Linked DNA regions of Caenorhabditis elegans. The protein of the gene in region 3 interacts with the protein of the main gene of each other region in a pairwise test. Each region holds a gene or a part of one and is shown on either strand. Other genes may lie near its edges. The genes, in order: eif-3.D, arrd-24 and K04G2.10.

Region 1 (4,539 bases), on a different chromosome or scaffold from region 3:
TATTTTTAGGCTGGATATTATAAAAAATTGTAGGTGTTTTGAGAGTTGAGAAAAATGGGAAAATAGATGCATAATGATACGAATTTTCTCCAATTGTGTAGGCACCGTTTTCGTATTCGAATTTTTCCACAATTTCTAGTTTTGCCATTTCTGTAAAAAATATAGTGAATAGAAAAATATTGTGTACGAAAGAAAAATAACTAACTCAAATGATGCTCGAAACACTCAATACTCGACTCGTTACGACGAGTGCACGCAACGATAGCAGCTTTTGAGTGGCGGAGCAGAAGATTGAGCACATTGCAGAGAGAGGCGAGCAATGCAGTGTCGTAGACAACATCTGAAAAAGGAGACGTGAAAGAGAAGAGAGACACAGAGAAATGAGAAGACTTGGATAATGAGTGCCTGAAGCTGTTATTTGAAGGGTTTCGTTTCACACGAATATCATATAGAAAAACAAAGAATTTAACAAATAAAAGTATTAGCAAAACCTACCGGCCGCGATAATCAAATCCGTGGGTTCCTTCCATTCAGAGAAATCAAAATCACACCAATTGAGTGAGCGAACTGTTGCTTGATTGTTGTTGGCTGACGAATCTACAATTTAGATTCTAAATATTTTTAAATTTGAAATACGGAAGGAGTCGATTTTATTTCTCAAAAAATACCTTCAGTATCACTCTTCAGATCGTTTTTCGCAATATTCTCTTCTAAAAGATTCAGCACATTATCATCATAATCAGTGAGCGTCACACAACAATCATTCATTTTTGCAATTGCAATTCCACTAACACCACATCCTGACCCGAGTTCTAATATTCGATTGTACTCGGAGGGAATCAAGCGAAAAAGATTGGCGAGATCACAAGAAGCTTGCCAAACTGATAAGCCAGTTGTACCCATTGATAGTTGATTTACAGCTTCCGAGAATTTCGCTAGAACTTTGTCGCCTCCATCGGTTAGGTAAACCTGAAAATATGAAATTATTTCCATTTGAGCTGACGAATTGTTTAAAAACTTACTCTTTCCACATATTCTCCTTCTTTCATTCCCATTAGAGAACCAAGCCTGTCGAACATTGAATCAGGAACAACAACATTATTGGCTTGAAGTTCAGAAATCAAGTTTTTAAGAACATTTATTTGAAATTTGTAACGAATTTCATGCGATGTGACAATTTCATTATTGAAGACATTGTTGCAAAGATTCTCAGCATATTCCGAATCTTTTATGCATTGTTCTACAATATCCTTCATTAGCTGATCCGGAATTTTTGAAGCGCTACAATAAAATCTTTTGAACTGGAGTTCAGTTGTCTCCTTTTCTGAGTGGACCATCCCGCTCAGTTCTCCGTTTTCTTGACATTTTGTGAAAATTTTGCGTTTTCGTTCTGACTGAATAAGCGGTATCAGGAGGAAGGTATTCGGGTCTTGCATGTGGAATTCCGTAGTGTTCTGCTTGAACGATTCGCTGCTCCGCTTGATAGATTAGTTTGCCAATCACTATTGGGTCTTTTTCCTGAAAAATCCCATATAATTAGTTTCCACATCAATATTGAGAACGAGAATACCTGCTGGTGCTCTCGGAAAGCCTGACGAGCTTCAGTGATAATTTGTTGTCTCTCAACTACAGTATTTGTTTCTTCTTTTGCTTTCCAATTCTTGCCCAATTTTAAAATCTGTCGATAGAGCTGAATGACTCGAATACTTTGTGGCACTGTATTCATCAAGGTGGACCCGTTTCTGGAATTATATTCTGATTATGCGAGGAAATTTGGAGAAAACAAATAAAAACCAAAAATTGAGGTGGCGTCAAGTGGCGAATGTTGGCGCGTTTCGTGTACCTTGCGCATTTCTCGATTAAACATTTTTATTTTTACACGCGTTCTTGTCGGATTTTTCACATTTTTATACGATTTTCTGATTAATTTTTCTGTTTTGTGAATTATATAAATTCATGAAAGTCTTGTAACTATATTTTAAATGCTCTCGAATGTTATTGTTCCATTTCCATTTCTTTTGTCGTTGCTATCGTTTGGCCTAAAATTGCATTTCAACACTATTTTATATTTATTTCAGGTATGGCTCTACCAAAGTTTGAACTGTTGTCATTGGCTGATAATACAGTCGGATGGGGTCCATTGGCGTCGAGTTCCTCTGCTGATGAGCCTGTTCCATTCCAACAATTCAACAAGGCTGATCGCATCGGACGTGTTGCCGACTGGATTGGTGTTGATAGATTCTATAGAAGAGGAAATGAGAGGTTTTTATACAACAAATGAGTGGTATCGTTAAAACTTGAAATTTAGATACAATGAGCGTGTCTATGGATCCGCCGCCAACGCTGGAAGTCAGTTCGATTACATTCATGGAATGGATGAGCATAACTTCCAACTTGTTGACACTTCTAAACCAATGGCTCGCAATCCACAGCGCAACTTCCGTGTCCGCCAAATGCATCTTCGTAAGATGATGCAGAAAGAAAATGAGAAGCGTGAGATGGTGAACCAGTCAACGAATTTGAGAATGAAGAGAAGTATCGCCAAGGAGCAACAACGTGCCTTCAAGATGTGGCAACGTCGTGGAGGAAATGCTCGTCAAGGACAACGCGGACAAGGTGGTCGATTCGGAGGTGATCGGCCGAAGGAACGTCTTCCATCTGTTCAAGTTAGACCGGAATGGGTTGTTCTTGAAGAAATGAATCTTAGTGCGTTTTCCAAACTTGCTCTTCCTAACATCCCAGGAGGAGACGACATTGGGGATCACCAGTATGGAAGTCTTCAATACTATGACAAGACTATTGATCGCGTTTCTGTGAAAAATTCTATTCCGCTTCAAAGATGCGCTGGCGTGTTCTACAATGTCACCACAACGGAAGATCCTGTAATTCAAGAACTTGCTCAAGGTGGTGCTGGAAATGTTTTCGGAACAGACATAATTCTTGCTACTTTGATGACTGCTCCTCGTTCGGTCTACTCGTGGGACATTGTTGCCTACAGAGTCGGAGACAAACTTTTCTTCGATAAGAGAAACACTAGAGATATTTTGAATCCAGTTGAGACCCTTACTGTTTCCGAGACTAGTGCCGAACCACCATCATTCGACGGAAATGGTATCAACAATGCCAAGGATCTTGCGACCGAGGCATTCTACATTAACCAAAACTTCCGTCGTCAAGTCGTCAAGAGAAACGACGCAGGATTCACCTTCAAGAATGCTCGTGCTCCATTCGAAGACGAGGAGACTGGAGAGTCAGGAACTGCTTACAAGTAGGATTTTCGTTTAAAATTTTGATCTTTAATTAAACAATTTTTAGATACCGTAAGTGGAATCTTGGAAACGGAGTTGATGGAAAACCAGTTGAGTTGGTTTGCCGTACAGAATTGGATGGAGTTATTCACGGACTCGGAAATGAGACTCAGACTCTTACAATCAAGGCATTCAACGAATGGGATAGCACACAATCTGGAGGTGTCGACTGGAGAACAAAGCTTGATGTTCAAAAGGGAGCCGTAATGGCCACCGAAATCAAGAACAACTCAGCTAAGGTTGCAAAGTGGACTCTGCAAGCACTTCTTGCCGGTTCCGACACAATGAAGCTCGGATATGTGTCTCGTAACAATGCACGCAGCACACAAAATCATTCTATTCTACTCACCCAATACGTAAAGCCAACGGAGTTTGCTAGCAACATCGCCTTGAACATGGATAACTGCTGGGGAATTCTTAGATGCGTCATTGACAGGTAAGAACGAGCACATCCAGACTGGTAATCAATTTTTTCCAGTTGTATGAAGCAAAAACCAGGAAAGTACTTGTTGATGAAGGATCCACAATCTCCGGTTATCCGCCTTTATTCGCTTCCAGAAGGAACTTTCGAAAGCGAGCGCGAGAGCTCCGACGAGGAGAACTCGGATGACGATCAATAAAGTCCCCGGTTTCTGACAATTTCTTGTATTCGCTTTTCTAATTATTGTCTCTTGTTAATTAAACTTGGTTCTGATAAGATAAACTTTATTCAAAATATCATTCAACATTGGGATTTAATCGCAGCGTGCAAACCGGTAATTTGGAAAGAATCAAGCCCGCATAGTTCATTGGAAATCGCAGTAAGTTCTGGAGAAGCGTTGTCCTTCTTGAAGTAGTCGTCTCCAAGCTCAACATCGACGAGGCAAATCCTAAATTTCAACATTTTGAAATTTTTTAATTATGCATTTTTTAGAACTTACACAATGAAAAGAGCAATAACGATAGAATTAATTTCTCTCTTTGTCCAGCCAGTGATATTTTCCGAATCGAGTTGGAATGTCGAAGCTACTCGACTGAGAATATCACGACGAGTTGGAGTTAAATGTAAACGTGCTTCCAAATCCATCCAGCTGTAATTTCAAAATTAATATTTAAAATTGCTAGATAAACTCACTGATTCCTAATAGAATGCAGGAAAATATTCAATCTCTTCTCTTTCACATTGTACTTATCAAGATTCGGCAAATTGACCAATTTCTCCGCGTCCACCTTTTTACCGGACAAAAAATCC
Region 2 (3,736 bases), on a different chromosome or scaffold from region 3:
AGAGGAGGTTGAGCACATTCTGGCAAAGCAAGGACGTAAAGCTCGTCGAATGCAAAGATCTGAATACAAACACGCAGAGGAAGACAATAAAGGTGTTCGCCAAAGACTTGCCGCCAAACTTGTGGCCAAGAAATCGGAAATTATTGAGCGTTTCTGCCTTGCTCAACGTACTGTCTTTGTTAAAGCAGATTGTCCAAATGTCTATGGCCGGACAACCACTCACATTTCCTATCTTTTAGAATAAGTTGCTGTCGTCGTTGCACTGTTATCTTGTTTCACTACTGCACAAAAAGTGGCTCACAAAAAAATCCTGTAAAATTGTCTATAAAAATTCACCGTCAATCTCGAATATCACTACTCCTCATATTATTTTCTGAAATGTTTTTTTTTAAACTTATCTGTTGATTGTAATAAACTTGTAATTTACAATTCATCCTTATAGTTTTTTGAATCTACCCTACCTTATTTTTTGCCAAATGAATATTTTTGAAACTCAATGTTTAGCAATAGAGAAAGAAAATTGATTGACTAATGTAAATGGCCAGAATTTTATTAATTCACAATTATACAAGAAAAAATAAAATAAAATACCCAATTAAATTTTAGTTACACACATTGATTCCTCATAAGACGGCGGTAGAGCGGATGTTCCCGCTGTATCATCGGTCGGAGCACTTGGAACCACAGTTGAATAGGCTGGAGGTTAGGAATCCAGCCGCTCAAGGACAGGTGGATCAGACGGAAAGGTAGTTACCGTTGGCTCCACGATCGATTCAGTTATTGGCACTGTGCCGATGATGATATCAAACTCGCAGTGCAATGTATTATTAAGGGTTGTTAAAGTGTCCAACCTCACAGAAAGACAATACTCAATGCTGATAATGGGACTTGTAAATGTTGGTGGCGACTTTGGGATTTTCATCCGCAGCATTTCACGGCCAGCGGTTTTTGGAGCAATTTTTATGCTTTTTCGAGCTTCTGCAATACGTTTGCTTTCATCCTTGTGATGTTCGTGGTAAGACGAATGAGTGCATAAGAGGCCATGGTTTTTGCTAGCATTGTAATGCGAGTGCTGATGAAGTTCAGCTCGCACAAACGTTGCTGCACGTTTGGAAGCATTGTCAATGTCGATTGTGATTGGCAGGTATTCTCCAGGAGCATATCCTGCTTTGGGGATAGTTACCTGAAAGCATTAAATAACCTATCAATGTAGCAGCGTTGTACTCACAGTTATTGTTACTATTCCTTTTTTAAATATTTGCCCAATGTCCTTCACATCCTTCATCATTCTAGGAACATTTCCCAACGGAAGATGATTCAAGTCAAAGTTGGGAATAACTGAAAAATAACTTTTTGCGCACATTAACAATTTTCGAAATACCTTTGAAGTCTTCCCTTTCGTTTTTGTTGAACTTCCATGGTCTGTCAAGCTCAACTCGCACGGAATAACGAACGTGGCCGTGGAAACCTTCAAAACTAGGTGGACATTCTATCGGGAGTGGAAATGCAAACGGGAAGACATGGTGGCCAGATGGAAGTTTTTCCTGTAACAATATTGTAGTTTGTTATCAGTTAAATGCATGAAACTAAATACTCAAGATCGTCTTTTGTACATTACACTTCCAATTTAAGACTTACAGTTCCATTTCTTGCACTCCATGCAATCGTTTCTCCAGAGACGTAGTCAACTTCTGCAGAGTAGTGCACAATTTCAGTATAACTTTCCTCTTTTCCTTCACAATTACTAAACTCTTGTATGTCATTAGGTCTAGATGTCTTGGAGCTTACGTTCTGTATCGTCGTTCCCCTTCACTCCACTTCGTATGCGCAGCACCGTGAATACAGATTTTCAAGAATCGGGCAGTGATTGGCTCGTTGGATCTCAAAACAACCTGCCCAGTAACAGTTTGACCTGGTGCATAACCTCTCGGGCTATCGAACACAATTCCAAAGTGATCCATATGTTCCATATCTAAACTAAAAAGATACAAGGAAATTTAGAATTTTAATTAAGGAAAATGTTGTATGATTATAAAATGAATGAAAACTGATAAAATGAAGTGGTTATCAAATAAATTGCCGTTTTATAATATATTGTGACTCAAAACGCGTAATCAGGAGGTAAAATGTCGTCATCAGTCTTATACCGTGCGTTATTTGATTTTTGTGAAATCATATTTATATTATAAAACGGCAATTTATTTGATAACCACTTCATTTTATCAGTTTTCATTCATTTTATAATCATACAACATTTTCCTTAATTAAAATTCTAAATTTCCTTGTATCTTTTTAGTTTAGATATGGAACATATGGATCACTTTGGAATTGTGTTCGATAGCCCGAGAGGTTATGCACCAGGTCAAACTGTTACTGGGCAGGTTGTTTTGAGATCCAACGAGCCAATCACTGCCCGATTCTTGAAAATCTGTTTTCACGGTGCTGCGCATACGAAGTGGAGTGAAGGGGAACGACGATACAGAACGTAAGCTCCAAGACATCTAGACCTAATGACATACAAGAGTTTAGTAATTGTGAAGGAAAAGAGGAAAGTTATACTGAAATTGTGCACTACTCTGCAGAAGTTGACTACGTCTCTGGAGAAACGATTGCATGGAGTGCAAGAAATGGAACTGTAAGTCTTAAATTGGAAGTGTAATGTACAAAAGACGATCTTGAGTATTTAGTTTCATGCCTTTAACTTCACAGAATATTTTACTCTCTGGCTTCACAGAATATTTTAATCTCTGGCTTCACCGTATATTTTACTCTCTGGCTTCACAGAATATTTTACTCTCTGGCTTCGCAGAATATTTTACTCTCTGGCTTCACCGTATATTTTACTCTCTGGCTTCACCGTATATTTTACTCTCTGGCTTCACAGAATATTTTACTCTCTGGCTTCGCAGAATATTTTACTCTCTGGCTTCACCGTATATTTTACTCTCTGGCTTCACAGAATATTTTACTCTCTGGCTTTACAGAATATTTTACTCCCTGGCTTCACACTTTTTTGAATTTGGTTTCGAAATTCTGAAAGAACACAAAATTTGCAACAAAATGGCTACAGGATTTTTGAAAAAGTTAGTTTGACGCCAGATTCTAATTTTTGAAAATTGGAAAATCTACTAATTTTGCATGGTCGTTTTTAGTCATTCTCAAACTGTGCACTAAAAGGTATGACTGAAAATCCACTTTTTCTGCTTGAACTCCGCTAGAGGAATTTCTGTATCCGAATTATTTTTTACAGGCATATACCTTGACGAAATTACAAAAAAAAATTTTTGGAATTTTGGGAGACTTGATATGGCCCTGAATAGAAAATTTTTTTCTAAGATTATTGGTAAAGTTCGGGACCTGGAAATTAAATTTAAGCCACGCTAGAGGGGTTTCTGTATCCGAATTATTTTTTACAGGCATATACCTTGACGAAATTACAAAAAAAAAATTTTGGAATTTTGGGAGACTTGATATGGCCCTGAATAGACAATTTTTTTCTAAGATTATTGGTAAAGTTCGGGAAATATACGGTGAAGCCAGAGAGTAAAATATACGGTGAAGCCCGAGAGTAAAAAATACGGTGAAGCCAGAGAGTAAATGTTATATATTTTGTAATAATAATAGAAGAGCTTTATTAGAAAGCAGAAGAGTGCAGTATGATAGAATAGTGAGGAATGATCGAATATGATAGATTCGATCAAGGAATGTACATGTGGATAATACGTGAAATAATAAT
Region 3 (2,924 bases):
TAGGTCTTATTGCTTTAGTAAATAGAAAGTGGTATTAATATTTTCCAGTACATTTATATCCACTTAAACTTTCAGTTGTGAAAATTCAGATACCAGCTTTTCCAACCGGTCACACCTTCTTCTTACATTTGCTTTTCCTCTGGACACATTCAAAACTCCAGAATTATTATATTTGTTCGGCAAACTGCAAACATTCGTCTCCCAGACTACCCATAAAAATCATAAAAATCGTACAACAACTGGACAAAAAAAAACAACAATATACATATATGAGTGGAGGATATCAGCATATTACCCTGTCAAGGTCGGGCATGTGTTAGAGGTTTTAGAGATACAAAGAAATGAAGAAAAATGAATGAGAAGGAGACTTATTGATGAGAAAATGGCAAATTCATGATAACACATGAACAAAGAAGTTATGCGATTGTAGTGAAAAGGCATGCTTAGTGAGAAATTTTGATATTCTGCACGGGCGGTTCACTGAGACATTTATAATTAAAGATCAGGATTAAAACAAAACACAATTCCTGAAAAGTATTTTCTGAAAAAAAAACATTTATACTTGAGTGTGAATTTTTATTTTTGCAGGAACCACACAAGCTGAATCTCTACTAACCCGACAGGTGAAGATTTTTTCGAGTTGGAATATAACGTTTTTAAGAATGAGTTCATAATCTTTGTACTGTTTGAACAACTGATTTTCCCAAATTTTTTAGAACGAAACTGAAATTATGTTGAGGCCACTGATCTTTGCGAATCGGCGAGGTTCCGAATCAAGTCGACGCCGGAAATCTTTTCTACTATGATCTTCTCACGTCCTACTTCAGTCGTCTTCGTCCCATTGATCTTGACCTGAAACATTTTGAAAACTAAAGCGAGTAGAAACGAAGTAAAAATAAAGACGGCTCTATCTGATTCCATATCAATTCAGCATCCCGGAAAACTGTTGTAATCTGGACATGACCGGGAGACGCGAAAATTCCCTCACATTTTCTTGTCTCAAAGATCTGTCAACTCCTGATTCCAACCAGTTTTCCGCAATACTGAATTGAGAGTTAATATTTCATGCATTTCGCCGGAGTTCAATTTGATTCTGCAGTTTTCACTTTGAGCTAATCTCCAACTTTTGCTTTCAATCCAATAAATCATAGACAACTTTGATAAATGAAGCATATAATCTGTACTACCACGAATTCGCCCGTCGATTGCTCCAACATAAATCGAATAGCACGTTGGAATGGGCAACCATTGTCGGCGACTAAAAATCTTAATATTATAAAAAATTTTGTTCCAGTCCCAACATTCTCGAAATCTTTTTTGATCTACCAAATTGGTACTTCTTTGTAAATGTCATAAACAGGTGCGAGAGGAACCAGATAATATCGATCTCATAGCAAGAGAGAAATGATGTCATCGGAGCAGATGTTCTCCTTTCCTATGCCATTCTTTTTGCTAGTTACAGCACTACATTATCGATTGCAGCTTTGGGTCTCGACACGAAAACGCTCGTCTCCGATATATCGACTGCTACTGTGCTCAATCAAACATTACCCATCTTTGTTCTTGTTTTCCTTATTTTTTATTTTTTTTGGAACACATTAATTTTTATATTTTTTATTTATTTCAGAAACTCAACACTAAAAAGAAGTATGCAACGCTATAATCCACCACAAAGCTCGAATCAAATGTACTGCCCAGGATGTAATCGTCAAATTCGAAAAGTTCAAGAGTTGATGGACGAGAGGTACCTGACAAACATTTGTAATGAAGTGGAGAAGAACACCATGAGACTTCAAATTCAAGATTTGGAGAGACAAGTTCAAATGCGTCGATGTGAGAATCGGAAGATGAAGACTATTCAGGAAGTCGAAAAGGAAGGATCAACAGAATCTCAAGATTCAATTCATGACCATCCAATGGTAAAAGTGTTGATGGAGATCAACGATCAATTGATGATTGAAATGAGAAAAAAGGTTGAAGCTCCAGAAGAATATCCATTAGAAGAATGGAAAGATGCTATTGAACAAAAATGGAGTGAAAAGTATGAAAAGCTTCGTGATTATGCATTGGATCAACAAGACATGGTCAAATATATGGAAGAGAATGATGATCGACAAAAAGAAAGTATTGAGAAGTATAAACGGAAAATTGGTTCGATGAAAAAAGTAATTGAAAAGATGGAATTCGAAATGGCACTTCTTCAATCGGAATTGGAAATGAAAGACTCCTCATGTGTCGAGAAGTCTGTAAATAGTGAGGAAAAGCAGGAAAACAAGGAAAATCTTTCTGGTGTTCTCGATAATAAATTCATTTTCCAGAACTAATAATCTAACTTCAAAATCTCTTTTTTTTTCAATGCTTTATGTTATTTTCTTGCTTTTTACGAATAAAGTCTGTAATGACTATTTTTCGTTATATTGAAAAACCTTGGAGTCAGGAGTCTTCATAAAAGCAACAAACTTGCCCATTTCGGTAAAATAATTTAACTTTTAAAATAATCTAAAAAACAATTAAATGTTTTCTTGGAAAATTGTTTTGCTAAATCTTTTCATTCACCCAAAAAAATCAATGGCTATGGAAGCCCCTCAGTATTGAAAAATAAATGTTCTCAGGTTTCATATTTAGGTAAATTCATTAAATGTTACGAAAACTTTATTTATTCCAATAAGTAATTTCTAACAAGTTCTATCAATTGTCATCATCTACGAGTTCATTTCTTCTGACTAATCGCATTATGTCCAAAATCAATTTCTTTTTCTGAAAAATGAAATAAAATTGAAAATTTAATTTAATTTATGTTCTTACCTTTGCATAGTCATTATCGCTCATTCCCTCAAGAACTGGATCGAAATCTCTTTCGAATGTTTCACTAAGCTTCTGAGATGTTGACACGTGATTTGTCCAATGCTTGTAAAAGAAATGTC

Evidence for each region.
Region 1: the proteins of K04G2.10 (region 3) and eif-3.D interact in a two-hybrid assay, tested with the Caenorhabditis elegans proteins (one large-scale study listed by BioGRID).
Region 2: the proteins of K04G2.10 (region 3) and arrd-24 interact in a two-hybrid assay, tested with the Caenorhabditis elegans proteins (one large-scale study listed by BioGRID).

What each region holds. Positions count from the first base shown.
Region 1 is NC_003281.10:8,969,118-8,973,656, reverse strand, and holds eif-3.D (Eukaryotic translation initiation factor 3 subunit D), read left to right. Parts: upstream 1-2,078; 5' UTR 2,079-2,080; coding exon 2,081-2,262; intron 2,263-2,308; coding exon 2,309-3,268; intron 3,269-3,315; coding exon 3,316-3,744; intron 3,745-3,786; coding exon 3,787-3,928; 3' UTR 3,929-4,022; downstream 4,023-4,539. Other genes in the region: R08D7.4 (Complex1_LYR_dom domain-containing protein), read right to left, coding at 1-150, 206-340, 496-597, 669-969, 1,023-1,436; Putative RNA polymerase II subunit B1 CTD phosphatase rpap-2, read right to left, coding at 4,030-4,177, 4,229-4,378, 4,423-4,539.
Region 2 is NC_003284.9:13,978,537-13,982,272, forward strand, and holds arrd-24 (Arrestin C-terminal-like domain-containing protein), read right to left. Parts: upstream 1,982-3,736; 5' UTR 1,971-1,981; coding exon 1,789-1,970; intron 1,745-1,788; coding exon 1,639-1,744; intron 1,545-1,638; coding exon 1,382-1,544; intron 1,339-1,381; coding exon 1,229-1,338; intron 1,184-1,228; coding exon 704-1,183; 3' UTR 533-703; downstream 1-532. Other genes in the region: F48F7.6 (Zf-C4pol domain-containing protein), read left to right, coding at 1-244.
Region 3 is NC_003279.8:8,058,155-8,061,078, forward strand, and holds K04G2.10 (uncharacterized protein), read left to right. Parts: upstream 1-1,649; coding exon 1,650-2,324; downstream 2,325-2,924. Other genes in the region: F18C12.4 (Small integral membrane protein 29), read right to left, coding at 2,689-2,757, 2,806-2,924.